Linked DNA regions of Yarrowia lipolytica. Each later gene encodes a partner of the first gene's protein in a complex. Links are inferred from orthologs where the notes say so. Each region holds a gene or a part of one and is shown on either strand. Other genes may lie near its edges. The genes, in order: YALI1_E33268g, YALI1_A05491g, YALI1_F09803g and YALI1_D17410g.

What was found.
Region 2: YALI1_E33268g (region 1) and YALI1_A05491g share a complex: the UniProt entries of both Saccharomyces cerevisiae proteins name them as parts of the U4/U6-U5 tri-snRNP complex. The link is inferred for Yarrowia lipolytica from reciprocal best matches to the Saccharomyces cerevisiae genes PRP4 and SMX3.
Region 3: YALI1_E33268g (region 1) and YALI1_F09803g share a complex: the UniProt entries of both Saccharomyces cerevisiae proteins name them as parts of the U4/U6-U5 tri-snRNP complex. The link is inferred for Yarrowia lipolytica from reciprocal best matches to the Saccharomyces cerevisiae genes PRP4 and SMD2.
Region 4: YALI1_E33268g (region 1) and YALI1_D17410g share a complex: the UniProt entries of both Saccharomyces cerevisiae proteins name them as parts of the U4/U6-U5 tri-snRNP complex. The link is inferred for Yarrowia lipolytica from reciprocal best matches to the Saccharomyces cerevisiae genes PRP4 and SMB1.

The regions. Positions count from the first base shown.
Region 1 is NC_090774.1:3,324,787-3,328,466, reverse strand, and holds YALI1_E33268g (uncharacterized protein), read left to right. Parts: upstream 1-1,677; coding exon 1,678-3,036; downstream 3,037-3,680. Other genes in the region: YALI1_E33278g (uncharacterized protein), read right to left, coding at 424-451, 498-670; YALI1_E33234g (uncharacterized protein), read right to left, coding at 3,185-3,680. UniProt on the Saccharomyces cerevisiae protein: Involved in RNA splicing. Is required for the association of U4/U6 snRNP with U5 snRNP in an early step of spliceosome assembly.
Region 2 is NC_090770.1:548,227-551,618, forward strand, and holds YALI1_A05491g (uncharacterized protein), read right to left. Parts: upstream 1,660-3,392; coding exon 1,657-1,659; intron 969-1,656; coding exon 660-968; downstream 1-659. UniProt on the Saccharomyces cerevisiae protein: Plays a role in pre-mRNA splicing as a core component of the spliceosomal U1, U2, U4 and U5 small nuclear ribonucleoproteins (snRNPs), the building blocks of the spliceosome.
Region 3 is NC_090775.1:978,487-982,093, forward strand, and holds YALI1_F09803g (uncharacterized protein), read left to right. Parts: upstream 1-1,895; coding exon 1,896-1,909; intron 1,910-2,596; coding exon 2,597-2,930; downstream 2,931-3,607. Other genes in the region: YALI1_F09788g (uncharacterized protein), read right to left, coding at 1-333; YALI1_F09802g (uncharacterized protein), read right to left, coding at 636-1,730; YALI1_F09833g (uncharacterized protein), read right to left, coding at 3,183-3,607. UniProt on the Saccharomyces cerevisiae protein: Plays a role in pre-mRNA splicing as a core component of the spliceosomal U1, U2, U4 and U5 small nuclear ribonucleoproteins (snRNPs), the building blocks of the spliceosome.
Region 4 is NC_090773.1:1,739,075-1,742,163, forward strand, and holds YALI1_D17410g (uncharacterized protein), read left to right. Parts: upstream 1-1,968; coding exon 1,969-2,514; downstream 2,515-3,089. UniProt on the Saccharomyces cerevisiae protein: Plays a role in pre-mRNA splicing as a core component of the spliceosomal U1, U2, U4 and U5 small nuclear ribonucleoproteins (snRNPs), the building blocks of the spliceosome.

The DNA.
Region 1 (3,680 bases):
CTTAGCCTTGATGAAGGGAATGTCGAGAATCTTTTTGGTCACTTTTCTGGCATGGAAACGGAATGTGTTTTGAAGTCCATCAGCAAAGATGGTGTGAATAAAAGAAAGGAAGTTGCCAAGGGCTGTGAGAATGACGCTGAGTTAGTATATACATGGCTGGGTTGCTCTAGCTCATCGTTTCCAGATCAAATCACATGAACAGCGAGTAGCTGTTAATTGTATGTCGTAGCTAACATATGATGACTGATATCATGTCCGTGTGCTCCCGGTCGGACGGTCGGATGTACGGCCAAGAGAAGCCTCTGTGAATAATTGCTCCAAGATCTCATGGGTAAAACGTCGTGAGTGTCATGGCGTCAATGGTATCTCTGTAAGATCGCCTTTTACTTGTGTCGTTTTGATTCTCAATGGGACCGTGTATACTCACACAATAAATACCGCATCTCGAAATCTGGGTTAGTAGTACTCAAACAGTCTCATCCTTCGCTTATTCTCACTTTTCATAGGTAGTGGCATTCTGGAAATGCTCAATTACCTCAGCCCTCACGCAGTCGTGCTTCGAATGAAGGTAAGCGACCGGAGAAGCCTGGAACTCGTGGTAGTGCTGATGCAACAGGGCATGGAGCTCGTGGACGCATTTCTGCAGACACTCCAAGTGGGGGATCGCCATTGTTGTGTTTCTGTGGTGTTGGTGTTGGTGTGCAACAAGAGAAGAAATTGTGGGGGTTATAGACAGGTGCACTTGTGTGTCGGATGCTTACTGCCTGTGGTCTGTAGTGAATGTAGCCACTTTAGCTTTCGAAGCTGCATCTAGATATCAGGAGGTGAGATATTAACTCCGGGGAATGCATGGATGCGGTTGTCAGCGGGGTTTATTAAACACACCATTGATGGGCGCCAACGGTTGGGGCTTGGAAGAGATTCTTTCTTAACAGAATTTCCTATATATTGAATGCCTTCCGGCAACTCAAACATCCTTCCTCCCCCTTCTTTGCACTTTATAACTCCTCCACACTGAAATAGCCTCAACACATTCCGTTTAAACTTGCTTAGGCGATCTACTGCGTCTTATTATTATTGGCATCTGAGAGCTAATAGCGAGCGATGATTGAGGTATTAGGAGAGGCCAAACTAAACACAAGTTACGTGAGGCTCTGAAGCTATTTCTATGCCCGCATTATTCGTTTCAGTAGCTCTTTTTCTATCACTTTATCATTCTATAGTTGTATCCTGTTCCCACATTCTCCGCACTTTCGCTTTTAGAGCTAAACTCCGAACGAGTTTTTTATCATTCATGTGAAGGGAAGGTAGGCGGAGGTCAGTATATCGAAGCAGCATGTGGAGTCGCCTGCGTGTTGTTGTTTTTTCCAAAGTCGATTTTTCTGTAAATATCGCCACCATCTTCATCAGCTATTATCTAAACAGAGCTACAAGTAGTGAATAATATCCACAGTTATGGGGATCGAACAGGCAGGAGCTGCAAGAAACTCATAACCTGTGGTTAATAAGTGGCCGATATTTCTTGCTCTCTAGCTGCAAATCTGAACAACCCTGACCTTACAATAGTTTATTCGGGCCTTTCACTCATTGCATAATCCTGCTTTAGCACTCCATATCGCTTTAGTAATCAAATGTATCAATTCTGCACCTCCCAACCTAATTGTCTTCATCACCAACATGGAACTTGTGGATCTGGAGTCGATCAAGACGACGGTGGACTCTTCTTCAGTTCGGGAAGAGGCCGTTGCGGCCCGTCAGCTGTTGGAAAAACAACGTCGAGCTGATATTCTCAAAAAACTGCATGTTCCTACAGACGATAAGGATGTTAGAGCGAAACTACGATCGTTGAATGAGCCCATTACTCTTTTCGCAGAAGACAAAGCTGATCGACGGACCCGTCTGGGTCAGCTAATGGTGGACGAGTTTGATCGGGAAGGTCTGCAGGACGAAGAGAGCGATTCTGACGTTTCTATGGACGACGACGAGTTTTTTACGCCAGGAAGTGAAGAGTTGCTTGATGCAAGGAGGCAGATAACAAACGACAGTATCTTGAGAGCAAGGGACCGACTCACGACACAAAAGCAACAGTCGGAATTGTCCCTGGTGGAGACAGTTAACCTACGACGAGATAAGATGGCCCCTATAGAGCAGTATCAGCTTCTGGGATCACAGTTCGTTTCCACACGTCCAGCAGGGGCCGTGGCTTTTGGAAGCGACTCTATACTGGCTGCATCATCGTGGAACGGCGAGATCAAGCTAATGGATGTACCGAATCTGAATACCAAGGCTGTGTTGAGAGGGCACGTGGATAAAGTAAGTGCTTTGAAATGGGCACGTAATATCTTGCTGAGTGGATGTGGAGAGGGAAAGCTGCTGTTCTGGGATTCCAGCACAGAAGGCAACGAACATACTGCATACAGAACGGTGTCTGAAGCCCACAAGGGCCGTATCGCAGGTCTAGACGTTCATCCAAGCGGGCAGTGGGCTGCTACCGCGTCCTATGACTACACCTGGGCTCTGTGGGACATTGAGAGCGGTACCAAGCTGTTGTCTCAAGAAGGACACTCTAAGGGTGTCCACTCTGTGGCCTTCCACCCGGATGGAGCTCTAGTAGCCTCTGCTGGCTTGGATGCAGTAGGCAGAGTGTGGGATATGCGATCTGGACGAAGTATTCAGACTCTGGAAGGCCATATCCGAGAGATATACAGTCTGGGATGGTCTGGTAACGGGTTCTATCTTGCATCTGGATCTGCTGACGGATCTGTCAGAATATGGGATCTGCGTGCTCAAAAATGTTCCCACACAATCCCTGCACATACAAAGATTGTGTCGAGTGTTCAGTTTGACAAGTCGGGCTCATTTCTCGCATCTACGGGATACGATGGCGACTTTAACATCTGGAATGCCGATTCGTGGACCCTGGCTAAAAGGTGGAAGACGCAAGACCGAATCATGGGCATGGATTTGGGACCTGGAAACGAGTACTTCGCCACCTGTGGCTGGGATCGAACAGTGAAGTTGTGGTGCAAGGAGTAGGCGTTGAAGGGGTAGGAACACATACCGTATCGGTAATATATTGCATTCAAACTACAAGTACTTGTAAGTAAAAATAGAACCACTCAATCCGTCAGTAATTAATTAAACCTCCTATAATACATAATATATTTCATCATTCGTCATCCGTCTACTCTGACTGCGTATTAGGTCCATCGGCAGGAGAAAGAGCTCGTCTAGGAACCGAGCTCGATCTCACACCGTACCTCGCACGTGATGTCTTGGGAGCTGCCTCGCTCTGTCTCTTGAGCTGCTCCTCCAAGTTCTCCACCTTAACCTTGAGCTCTGCAATCTCCGAATCCCGAATTTCTCGCTCTTCGTCGAATGTGAGCTTTCTGAGGGCAGAAAACTCACCATCGGCACGCTGGTTGGCCTCAGCCAGCTCGGTTGTAAGCAATCCCACCTTCGCCAACGCCTCGGACGCGCTCTCGGATGCCTTTTGGTATTCGGAACGCATGTAGTCATTCTCATTGGACCGAGCATCAGCAGTAGCATTGGCCTTTTGCAGGCTCGTCTTCAGCGCCTGAATCTCCTCCTGCTGTTTGGTTTTGATGTCTGCGTCCTCTCCAGAAGCCAAAATAGCCTTCAGAGAAGCAACCTCATCCTGCAATCGAACAACTGCCTCC
Region 2 (3,392 bases), on another chromosome or scaffold:
ATTCGCGTCGTACAGCACGACCAGACTATATGTTCTGGTCTCTTTCCGGTGACTCGAGCCTGTTTGTCATCCCAAGAGCGAGCTGACGAGTTCCACCAAATAAGGCAGCTTGTACTTAATGGTAATGGTCAGATCGACAGCTCAAGGCCTTTTGGTAATCTTGGAGCTCGACGGGTTGTCGTCCTCCGACTTGATGGCGATATCGGAAGGACCGTTCTCGTTGTCCTTGACATTGTAGCCGTGTTCATCGTGTACTCGAAAAGAAGATAGATAAAGGTTGATGGGGATCTTCAGGGAGGATAGATGTATTCGATGCCGAGAATAGTTCGTCCGTGATGGCCTTCCTGTTGTTTGAGCCGATTGTCATAAGTGTTTGAATACACGAGCAGGATCGAGATGAATGACTGAACACACTTGCCGCAGTGGAAGATGAAGATGCCTCCCAAAGAGTGTGACTTGATGGCACTTGTACTGTACTGGTTGCTGGTATCATGTAGATATAGTAAGAACCATGGGCTTCTCACCTTCTCCTGAGTTTTTTGTAAACCAGCAGAAATCAGCTCACAATATATAGCAAACATATGTCGGCGAACAGACTACGGAGATACTCTACAACCATTGCGTTACATTCTATTATACAATACATCCCGTTCTTTCTTTTAAGCCATCTCAACGTCCTCCTTGACCTCTTCGGTCACCTCTGCGGTTGCGCTCTTGGTCTCCTCCTTTACCCCGTTCTCTCCGATCCACAGTACGTTGTTGCATCTGATGAAAACGTCGCCTAGCTCGCCCTTGTTCTCCTGGTCGACATACTCCACTGCATCCTCCAGCTGCAGGTTCATATAACTGTCGACGGAAACAAGTGTGCCCTGGTACTCGGTCTTGCCCCACTTGAGGTGGACAATGACGGACTTGCCTGTGAGTTCTTGCAGAAACGGTTTGGGGTTGGTGGGATTGAAAGGGGTTGACTGGGTTAGTAATGATAGTAGAGGAGATGATGTGCGTGGCGACGACAGATGATTGTGGGCGAATCAGTTGTGAAGCGGAGGTTAACTAAGCATGGTTGAGGAGAGCTAGACCACACATGTCACTAGTGTATATGCGGTTCACCTCGTTCGAGCGAGACAAGAGCTTGCCAAGGAGTCAGCTGCAAATTGGACCATTTCCAGTGCCTCACTTTCCCCTCATTCACGGTTGTAGAAAAACGACATTCCATTGCTGTCACACCACACAAACACAAACAACATAAAAATTGCATGACTTTCACGGCGGACTCTTGATATGGGGTTTCTCGGAAAAGGCTTTGCGTAGCAGACAATATCAAGCCTAGACGCAGCAGTAGTGTCACCGTGTCGTCCTTCCATTCTTGTAGATGTTGAGTTGAATCCAACTACAAAACGAGAGATCAGAGACACAAGACCACAAATACTTGCAGTCCATACCTCGGTATCCATAACCACTCCAATACCCCGCTAGGTACGCCACTGGTCCAGCTCTTCAAACAGCATTCCTGTCTTGACAGCATCAGACCTCGTCAGTATATGGTCCCCTCTCACACCCCGTCCCTCTCACACCCCGTCATTGTGTCTGCCTGACTACCAATAACGCATATCCATCATCTGTAGCATTTCCACTGCTCAAAAAATTCATACTCACCATCCTTGTTGTGGTAAAATGCTTGTTGTAGAAGTGGTGATGATGGCCGTGATCTGAGGGTCTACACACTGATACTGCAAAATAAGGTTTCCTGAATTTTGAAGAAAAAAAATAATTGCGAATTCTGTGGATCGAACACAGGACCTCCAGATTTCAAGACTGAGAATTACTTCAGTCTGGCGCTCTCCCAACTGAGCTAAATCCGCCGCGATTTCGATATTTTTGGATCAATCTCAGCAGTCAGCATTGTCGAATTATGTAATCATGATTGCTGATATATTTACCGGTCAATAGATGAAACAAGAAGAATACGTGAACAACCATACACGAATGCCATGCGCTCTTCTGGACAACTGAATCCAGATCCGATTTGCAGGTATAACAGATGTACTCAAGTAGCTGATGTATTTCCCCAGCATGAAAAAAAAAAAGAAAAAAGGATAACATAAAGTCCTCTGTTCCCTGTATTCTAATATATCTTTCTGCACGGTTACGACAGTGTCCATACCTTCAATATGGCCACCATTTTTTTATATTCTACTTTTTTTATTTTTTATTCTAATGATTCCTTTCTACTGCGGCTGAGTCATCAGTCTGCTTAGTCAGAGGTCTGGTTATAAAACGGGAATATCTCCAGGTCCCTTGGCCCAGTTGGTTAAGGCGTCGTGCTAATAAGAAATAGCCACTTTGCAACGCGAAGATCAGCAGTTCGATCCTGCTAGGGACCATTCCTTTTTGCTCCTTTCAGAACCGCAGATGGTCAGTCGCAAGCGCTTCCTGTCCTGATGTTGCTATCTCATTCTCTTCTAAATGGTTGTGAGAAGAGAATGTTATCGGATCGGACCCGCTGTGTTTGCAAGCAATGTACAAATTTCCATGTGGGGTTTCATTGAAGTCTTGATAAAACCCGAGAAAGAAGACAATGGCCCATTCCAAAGCAGTCAATGGCGTCTATTTTGCTACTTGGAGAACCGATAGCCCCCACACGCATTTCACGGTTGGCTCCCCCGCGTTTCTCGTCGACGACGGAAAGGTCCGAATCTAGTGCTAGCGTCCAGGGTATGAGCATGGCTCCCATGTCCGGTTGGATATATGGAATTGCTGCTTACTAAAAGGAAGTGTGTTTATGAGCGATGAATGGCCTTTCGGGACCGGAACTTCCAGATATTGCTGGTAACTGCTAATCGACACAGCTCTCGTTCACGCTAATGAGTGGTGTAATCTCGTGAGTTAGGTAGTAAATAGCAGTACAGTACATCTTGAAGTTGTCGAACTGGTGAAATTTGTACCTTTTGGCGACCAGTTGCCACACTCTCCTAGGTCGAACGAGAAAGCTCGGGTCGATAGATGGGTTGTAGTTCGATCTCTTAAAACCCGTTTCGTGAATTACTCTGAATTCTCCAACTATCGGATCAGAGCCTGGGCCTATTTGAGCCACTTCATGTGTATCGTATGTGTGTACATTGTAGTCATCAATTCATCCGCAAGGATCGCGGTTGTTCTCCAAGTACGGGTGCGGACTGGACTCGTATCACACCGAAGGACAGAGTGGTGGGTATGTTTAACAGTTCAGTGCAACGTGAAGGACTTTCAAGGACGACTCTACTAATTTACAACTCTACAACTCAAGAACTCAAGAACTACACAACGACAATTCACCGACAATTCAACGACCCGGCTCATAAAAAACAATCCAACCACTTGATAACAACTCAATCAATCCAAGGGACATATAA
Region 3 (3,607 bases), on another chromosome or scaffold:
GCATTGAAATGAGTGTCCTGAAACGTGAATGATGGAAACATGGTGACTTTCACCCGTCCAGTAGGAGTCGCCAATCGACAATTTCAGGGTATGGAAAGCCGTCTGTAATTGGCGATTCGAGGTGATTTCCTTGTTCAGCTGGGCTCCAATTTCTCCTTCCAGTTGCTGAGTATCTATCTTGTCGTTGTTGCTGGTGAGCAGCTGCTGTACGAGCTCCTGAGCGTCGTTTTCGGCACTCTGAGAGCTTTCTAGCTTGCGTATCTCCTCTTCAAGAGCAGCCACGCGCTTTCGATACAGCTGGACGCGTTGCAATAAGCCCTTTTGTGTCGTCATGAAGTGTGGAACTGAAGTCACAAGAAATCAAGACACGCGTGGCATGATGCATGAAATATGCACAACACCAGATTTATATAATTTCCGTCTAAAATTTGTAGAAATGCCAAACTACGAGAGTAGCCATTAATTGGTGATAAACAACCTGTAATCTGGTTCAAAATACCCCTCTCTCTGTCTGCTTGTAGTATGTCATAATACTACCCATTCTTCCGATTTTCCCCCATCCAATTCACTTGATAAGCAATAAGCAATAAACAACAAAAAAACAATGCAATAAATAGATACATACCGGGGGCTCTCTACTTTCCGGTCAACTTCCAACCTCTTCCCACAGGGGTACTGAAACATTCACAGTGGTAGCCTCCATAGAGATCCTTCAGAATCCATTCGAAAGAAACGCCCTTGAAGCCCTTCCAGCGGTTGCTATTAGCACTCCACTTCTTCTCCATCTGCTCCTCTAACATTTCCTGGTACGACTGCTTTTTGAGCATGTTTATAAACCATGTTCGTGCAGAGGCACCCAGTTTCAGAAACACACCCACGTTAGGCACACAGACATTGTACATTTGAGCCTCTTGAGGATTCATGGTCAGAAACCCGCTCTTGACGAGAGTAGAAGCATTGGGAAGTTCATCGAAGCCAAACTCCACCCGACTTGGATGGGACAATAAAAGGATCTTGAATTCCTCCAGAGCCTTCTTCTGATTTGCCACCTTGCACTCTTGTATGCTCTGATCCAGCAGCTTGTAGAACTTGTCTGCCTCCATTAGAAGCACGCCTTCATCAACGTTATTGACTGCCACTTTTCGCAGTAGTCCTGCCTCGACGGCGTCGTTCACCCGTCTCAAGACCAACGTAGGCTCTCTCAGGCTGTATGCGTGCACATGGGTCATCTTGACTAGAGGAGGCACGTTCTGACGAGCTTCATAAGTAGGAGCTGTGTACGCCTTTCCGATTGGAATCTCCTCGTACATGTTATCCAGAATCTCTCTCACCACCTGCACAATGTCGTCTCCCAGACTGTCCTGCTTCTCCTGGTTCTTCCACTTGAGATCGCTCTTGAGAGACGTCACTGGCAGCTTCTCCTGTTGGTTTGCCTTCAGGTAGTCGGCCTTTTGTTTTTCGAGCTGGTTGATGAACGCCGCCTGGCCGGGCATTAGAGGCGGCTCCTTGGCCCGTCGTTTGCCCACTCTATAAGACGTCGATGCCGTGAACTTCATGTTGTGTGTGTGTTGATATGAGGGTGCGTGTAAGATGTGTGTTGAGATACGGTGAGGTGCATGAGCAGAACGGTGGCAAATCAGGACATGAGATGTGACAGAGAGGCAGTCAAATTGCAGTGTCGGTCTTGGTGTCTTTGTGTCTGTGTGTGGTACTCGCTGGCTTCTTCTCATGAGGGCTGGATCAGACTCAGTTATTTTGGAATCTGGTCACATGACTGCATAAACTTTAAATTCTGCCGAACGCAAAAATCATCACTCCTTCACTATGCATGAAATCCTATCACCGTGTGTACATCACCACTTTACACCACGCAAAACCACATAAAAACAGCACAGATGGACAACCCAGCGTGAGTATAACGAGAAAAGCGGGATTTGGGGAGGATGATCAAACGAGACGGACCAAATGATGGCTGGAATACGTGATGGATGATGCGATTGTGAAGTGATTTGTGGAACCCAAGAATGAACGGTGTGCGACAAGCAGACACTGTTATTGTTTGGACCCGAACGGAGAGTTGTGACAGCGTTAAGTGAAGGGATTGACTTTTTGAGAAGCTGTGAATGCCTTAATCAACTTCTTTACTAGGTTAATAGTCTCATGTAACAGTCAGATGAAAGCATGACTGCCCAAGACGCACGCCCGCAATCACTCCTACCACTCCGAACGACATCCCTAACATGGCACTTCGCGAACGGCACTGTGAGCACGGTATCTTGGTTGTAACGTTCACTGCGGATTGTCTCACGATTCATGACACACGAGCATGAAACAATAAGCAAGATGAATGGTACAAACATCAGCAAACAGCAGGATGCTTGACTGGCGGTCACACAGACATATATGGGGGACAGTTATACCACCGTCTCCCTAGTTTCGCCATTGTTCAACATGCCTAATCTTGGCTCTATTCATCATCCTTGATTGTGCCTGACGTCCGATACAGACAGACCAGACATATCCTCAGGCGCACAATGCATCTTCTACTGTTGTCTACCAGACCTGCGATCCTCACACCCGTCTTATACTAACCCAGTGAACTCCTAAACAAGGACAAGTCCACTCTCACCGACGTGGAGCTCCAAAAGCTCGAGGAGTACGAGTTCTCACATGGCCCCCTGTCGCTGCTGCAGCGGGCAGTACAGAACCACACACAGGTGCTGATATCGTGCCGAAACAACAAAAAGCTGCTGGCCCGAGTCAAGGCGTTTGACCGGCACTCCAACATGGTGCTGGAGAACGTGAAGGAGATGTGGACGGAAAAAACGAAAACCGCCAGCGGCAAGCCCGGCAAGACCGTCACCAAGGATCGGTTCATCAGCAAAATGTTTCTGCGAGGCGACACCGTCATTCTCGTCGTTTCTGCATGAAAGGGAGGTTGTATAGTAATTATTTATGCATTTGAAGGAGGGGGTACTTGTAGATGTGGCTGTAAAATGGACATCCACCACCGCTGTATTAGCATCGCGCATTGAATAAAATAAATAGGCAGTAGGCATATATACGTTAGTCCCGTAACCATTTTAAGCGGCTCTGGTTGGTCTACTACTTGGTCAATGAGACTCTTGATAGTGGTGGTAATAGGGAAGGGTTGCCGTCAATTGCACTCTTCATCGCACTCCTCAGAAGTGTTTTGCATCGCCCGGATAACACCTCTTCATTACCTCGGTCATCTCAAAGCGATACTCCTCCTTATTCCATCCCCTGAACATGAGACACAGTCCATGGAGATGCGAGAATGTGTCCATGATGTCCAACCCTGAAGTCTCGTCCACAACCACCAGATTGGACTCTGCAAACACCCTCTTTTCCCCAACTCCATCGACCACCACCTGGTAGTATGCCTCTGACTCCTCCATGCCCACGTCGATCTCTCGGTTGGGAATCTGAGCTGTTTCTTCATAAGCTGTTTCGGAATTCACAAACCACGAAACGACAATGCCATAGAGATCCAGACGAGTATGATGCACCACCTGACCGACATAGAGATTGACATGCTTACTGTGTGAGTCTCGAGACTTGACCGTTCGTAGAACTGGATCCAACT
Region 4 (3,089 bases), on another chromosome or scaffold:
CCGTCTCGCAGTCGTATCGTACGCGCCTCATACCTTCCGTCGCACGCTACCGCCCGTCGCACGCTACCGCCTCGCTGTCCGTCGTACCGCCTCGCACTCGCGGGCTCGCCGGACCTCCTACCACTTTCAATTGGCTGACACCTTATCCCTGTGTGTGTTCGGACTATGCGCTCATTGTTTACAAGTATGACGTGCATTATCGTAGGTGCCAAGAGCTGAGATACTGCTTGCTGCGGCTATCTATGGGGTTTAGCGGATGATATAGAAACAAAGGCTGGCATCTAAGCAATCTGGACGGGGCGAAAACCGAGTCGCGGTCCGTGCGACACGAAAAACACGTCTTTTCACCCCCAGCAACGGAGTCTAGCTCCCGCCCCAACTCTGTGATAAAGTTGAAAGGAAGAATGCTAACAATAGATTGTAAACACAAGGGATGTGGGCCAGAGAGGCGCTTATTCGCAGTGGCAAGCAGGGAAAAAGTCGTTGATCACGTCATTAACAACTACAAGCAACAGTGTCGTTGCTTCCTTTCGTCACGTGATAGCCCCAGTCCCGCGTTTGGCCCTCTCCTCGATCCCGCCGCCTTCCCCCTGCATCTACATACTCCAAGGGATGACGTGCAGGAGCCAAGCGTTCATATTCAACTCTAACCCTGGCTCTGACGCGGTATATATATATAAGCGGGGAGGCGTCTCCGTCTTTCGTCTTTCGTCTTTGTTAGTTCCAACCAACGTTCGTTTCTGCCACATCCACCATGCGACTCTCCACCACTCTCATTGCTGCTCTCTCCACCCTGGCTCTTGCTGCTCCTGCCCCTGCCCCTGCCCCGGTCAACGCCATCGTCAACGGCGACAAGCTCAAGAACATCGAGCACCTTGGAAAGCGAGACCTCAAGAAGATCGCCCAGGAGAAGGTGATTGTCAACGGCGACCAGCTGACCAAGGAGGCCAACTAATTGTGTCCGACAAGTGACTGAATGTCAAAGATACGACATGGTCAACCACAAACCAGCCTAGAGAACACTTTGCTCACTGTATATTTAATCAATTAATAATGACTACAACATGTTGCCGTTGATGACTGACGTGATATCACCGCTTGATGACTAACAAGTAACATCAGTTGGATAGAGATGGATAAAGCGATTCGAGGGGATTATTTTGATACTTGACAAAGAGATACCAGGGATATACTGAAAGGAAAGTACTTGTAGCTACTTGTAGGTTAGTCGTAGTCCAACGAAGGTGCGAGTCTCTCTTCATTATATCATCATTTTTTATTAAAACATATATTTTTGATTATCATTAATAATCTTTCAAACAATCTCCGATTTGCTGACTAAGACTACACTAATGGGTAGTCTACTCAAGCTGATTATTTTGATATTATGTAATCACACCTCGATTACTAGGGACAATACATAGTCTCTGATTTGATGACAAACGAGCTATTCGCTAGACATGAAAATTACACCAATAGAAACCCCACTCAAGCCCATCATTTCTACATTTTCAGGTCTCCCTATTGTCCAACAATAATTCCATCTCTGGACGTTCGACTAAGGCAAAGGTATACCTCTCCAACCTCTTCTTCAACAGCAGCAACCAAATAAGAAATGGAGAAATAAATAAATTAACAAAAGAAAAAAATAAAAAAAGGAAAAAAAAGGAAAAAAAAAAGAGGACCAAGAAACAACTCGAAATTCCCATTTTTTTTAATGCACAAAAATCAACCGCTTTTTTGTCCACTTCGGCCGCCATACCCAGTTACCCTACTGCATGACAATCTGCACACAAAGTTGATCCTCCAGTTGTGCATCACCAACGAGACATTGCACTACTGTACACACACACACACACACACACACACACACCGTCACACAAGATGATTGTGAGTATGATTGGAAAGAGCCATCATGTGGCAACCGACATCACTTGAAGATCTACATCACGTGACCAAAAGTGTTACATGATTAATCTCAAAACGCTCGATGGGACGAGCAGCTCCAGCGTTTTGCTAACACAGGTACCAAACAAGACAAAAATGGCCGATCTGGTCAACTACAGGCTCCGGGTGACGACTGTGGATGGCAAGCAGATGGTGGGACAGATGCTGGCGTTCGACCGGTACATGAATCTTGTTCTAAGTGACTGCGAGGAGTTCCGGGCAACGAAAAAGTCGCTGCTGGAGGCAAAAAAGACTATCCAGATCGAGAATGGCGACGCTTCTTCCGTGTCCATCACTGAGGAGAAACGGACTTTGGGGTTGGTCATTCTACGAGGCGAGACTGTGGTTTCTGTGTCTGTCGAGGCTCCTCCTCCCACAGATCCTACAGCTCGACTGGGCAACACCGCTCTGACACCCGGATCCGGGTCTGCCAAGGGCATCAACCGGGCCATCCCCACAGGTCCCAGAGGAGCTGGAGGACCGGGATTGGGAGGTCCCGTGCGAAGTGCGCCTGGAGGAAGAGCTCCTCCCGGGTTCCAGGCTCCTCCTGGATTTGGACGGGCGTAGACGCATACACACGTCTGGGCAGAACTGTGAAACCACGCGGACTGTCATGTTCGGTGACTAACGTCCGAAACACAGGATTACACAGCCTCAAGAGCACTCAAGAACAGCCCCGAACAGAGTGTTTAGTTTTGGAGATACGGCATAGAAAGAACCGGGAGCAAAGATGAGATGGGGGACAATGGCGCACTCACTCATGGCTGGAAAAAGGTATATAATATAATTAGCATAATAGGGAATGGACGTGTATATTGGACTATCTTCTGATACGAAACGGTGGAGCACTGTACAAGTGACAGGACTACTCCACCACCGACGTGAGCTCTTACTATTCCTCTGAGCCTGTGATACCCATTGTGCGCAAGATAAAGATGGAAATGACAGCTACAAACGAGCAAGTACGACTCTAGACTTCCTTACGATGAACTCTGAAGTCAGTCATATAGCTCGGTTATACATTCTTTTGCAAATCTGATGGGACGATAACAGTGATTGTCAGAAATGCTAGTATATTAATAATATCTGTTGTGACATGGAACTACTCAAAGCAGTGCTTACATTCCTCTAAAATCTTCAGT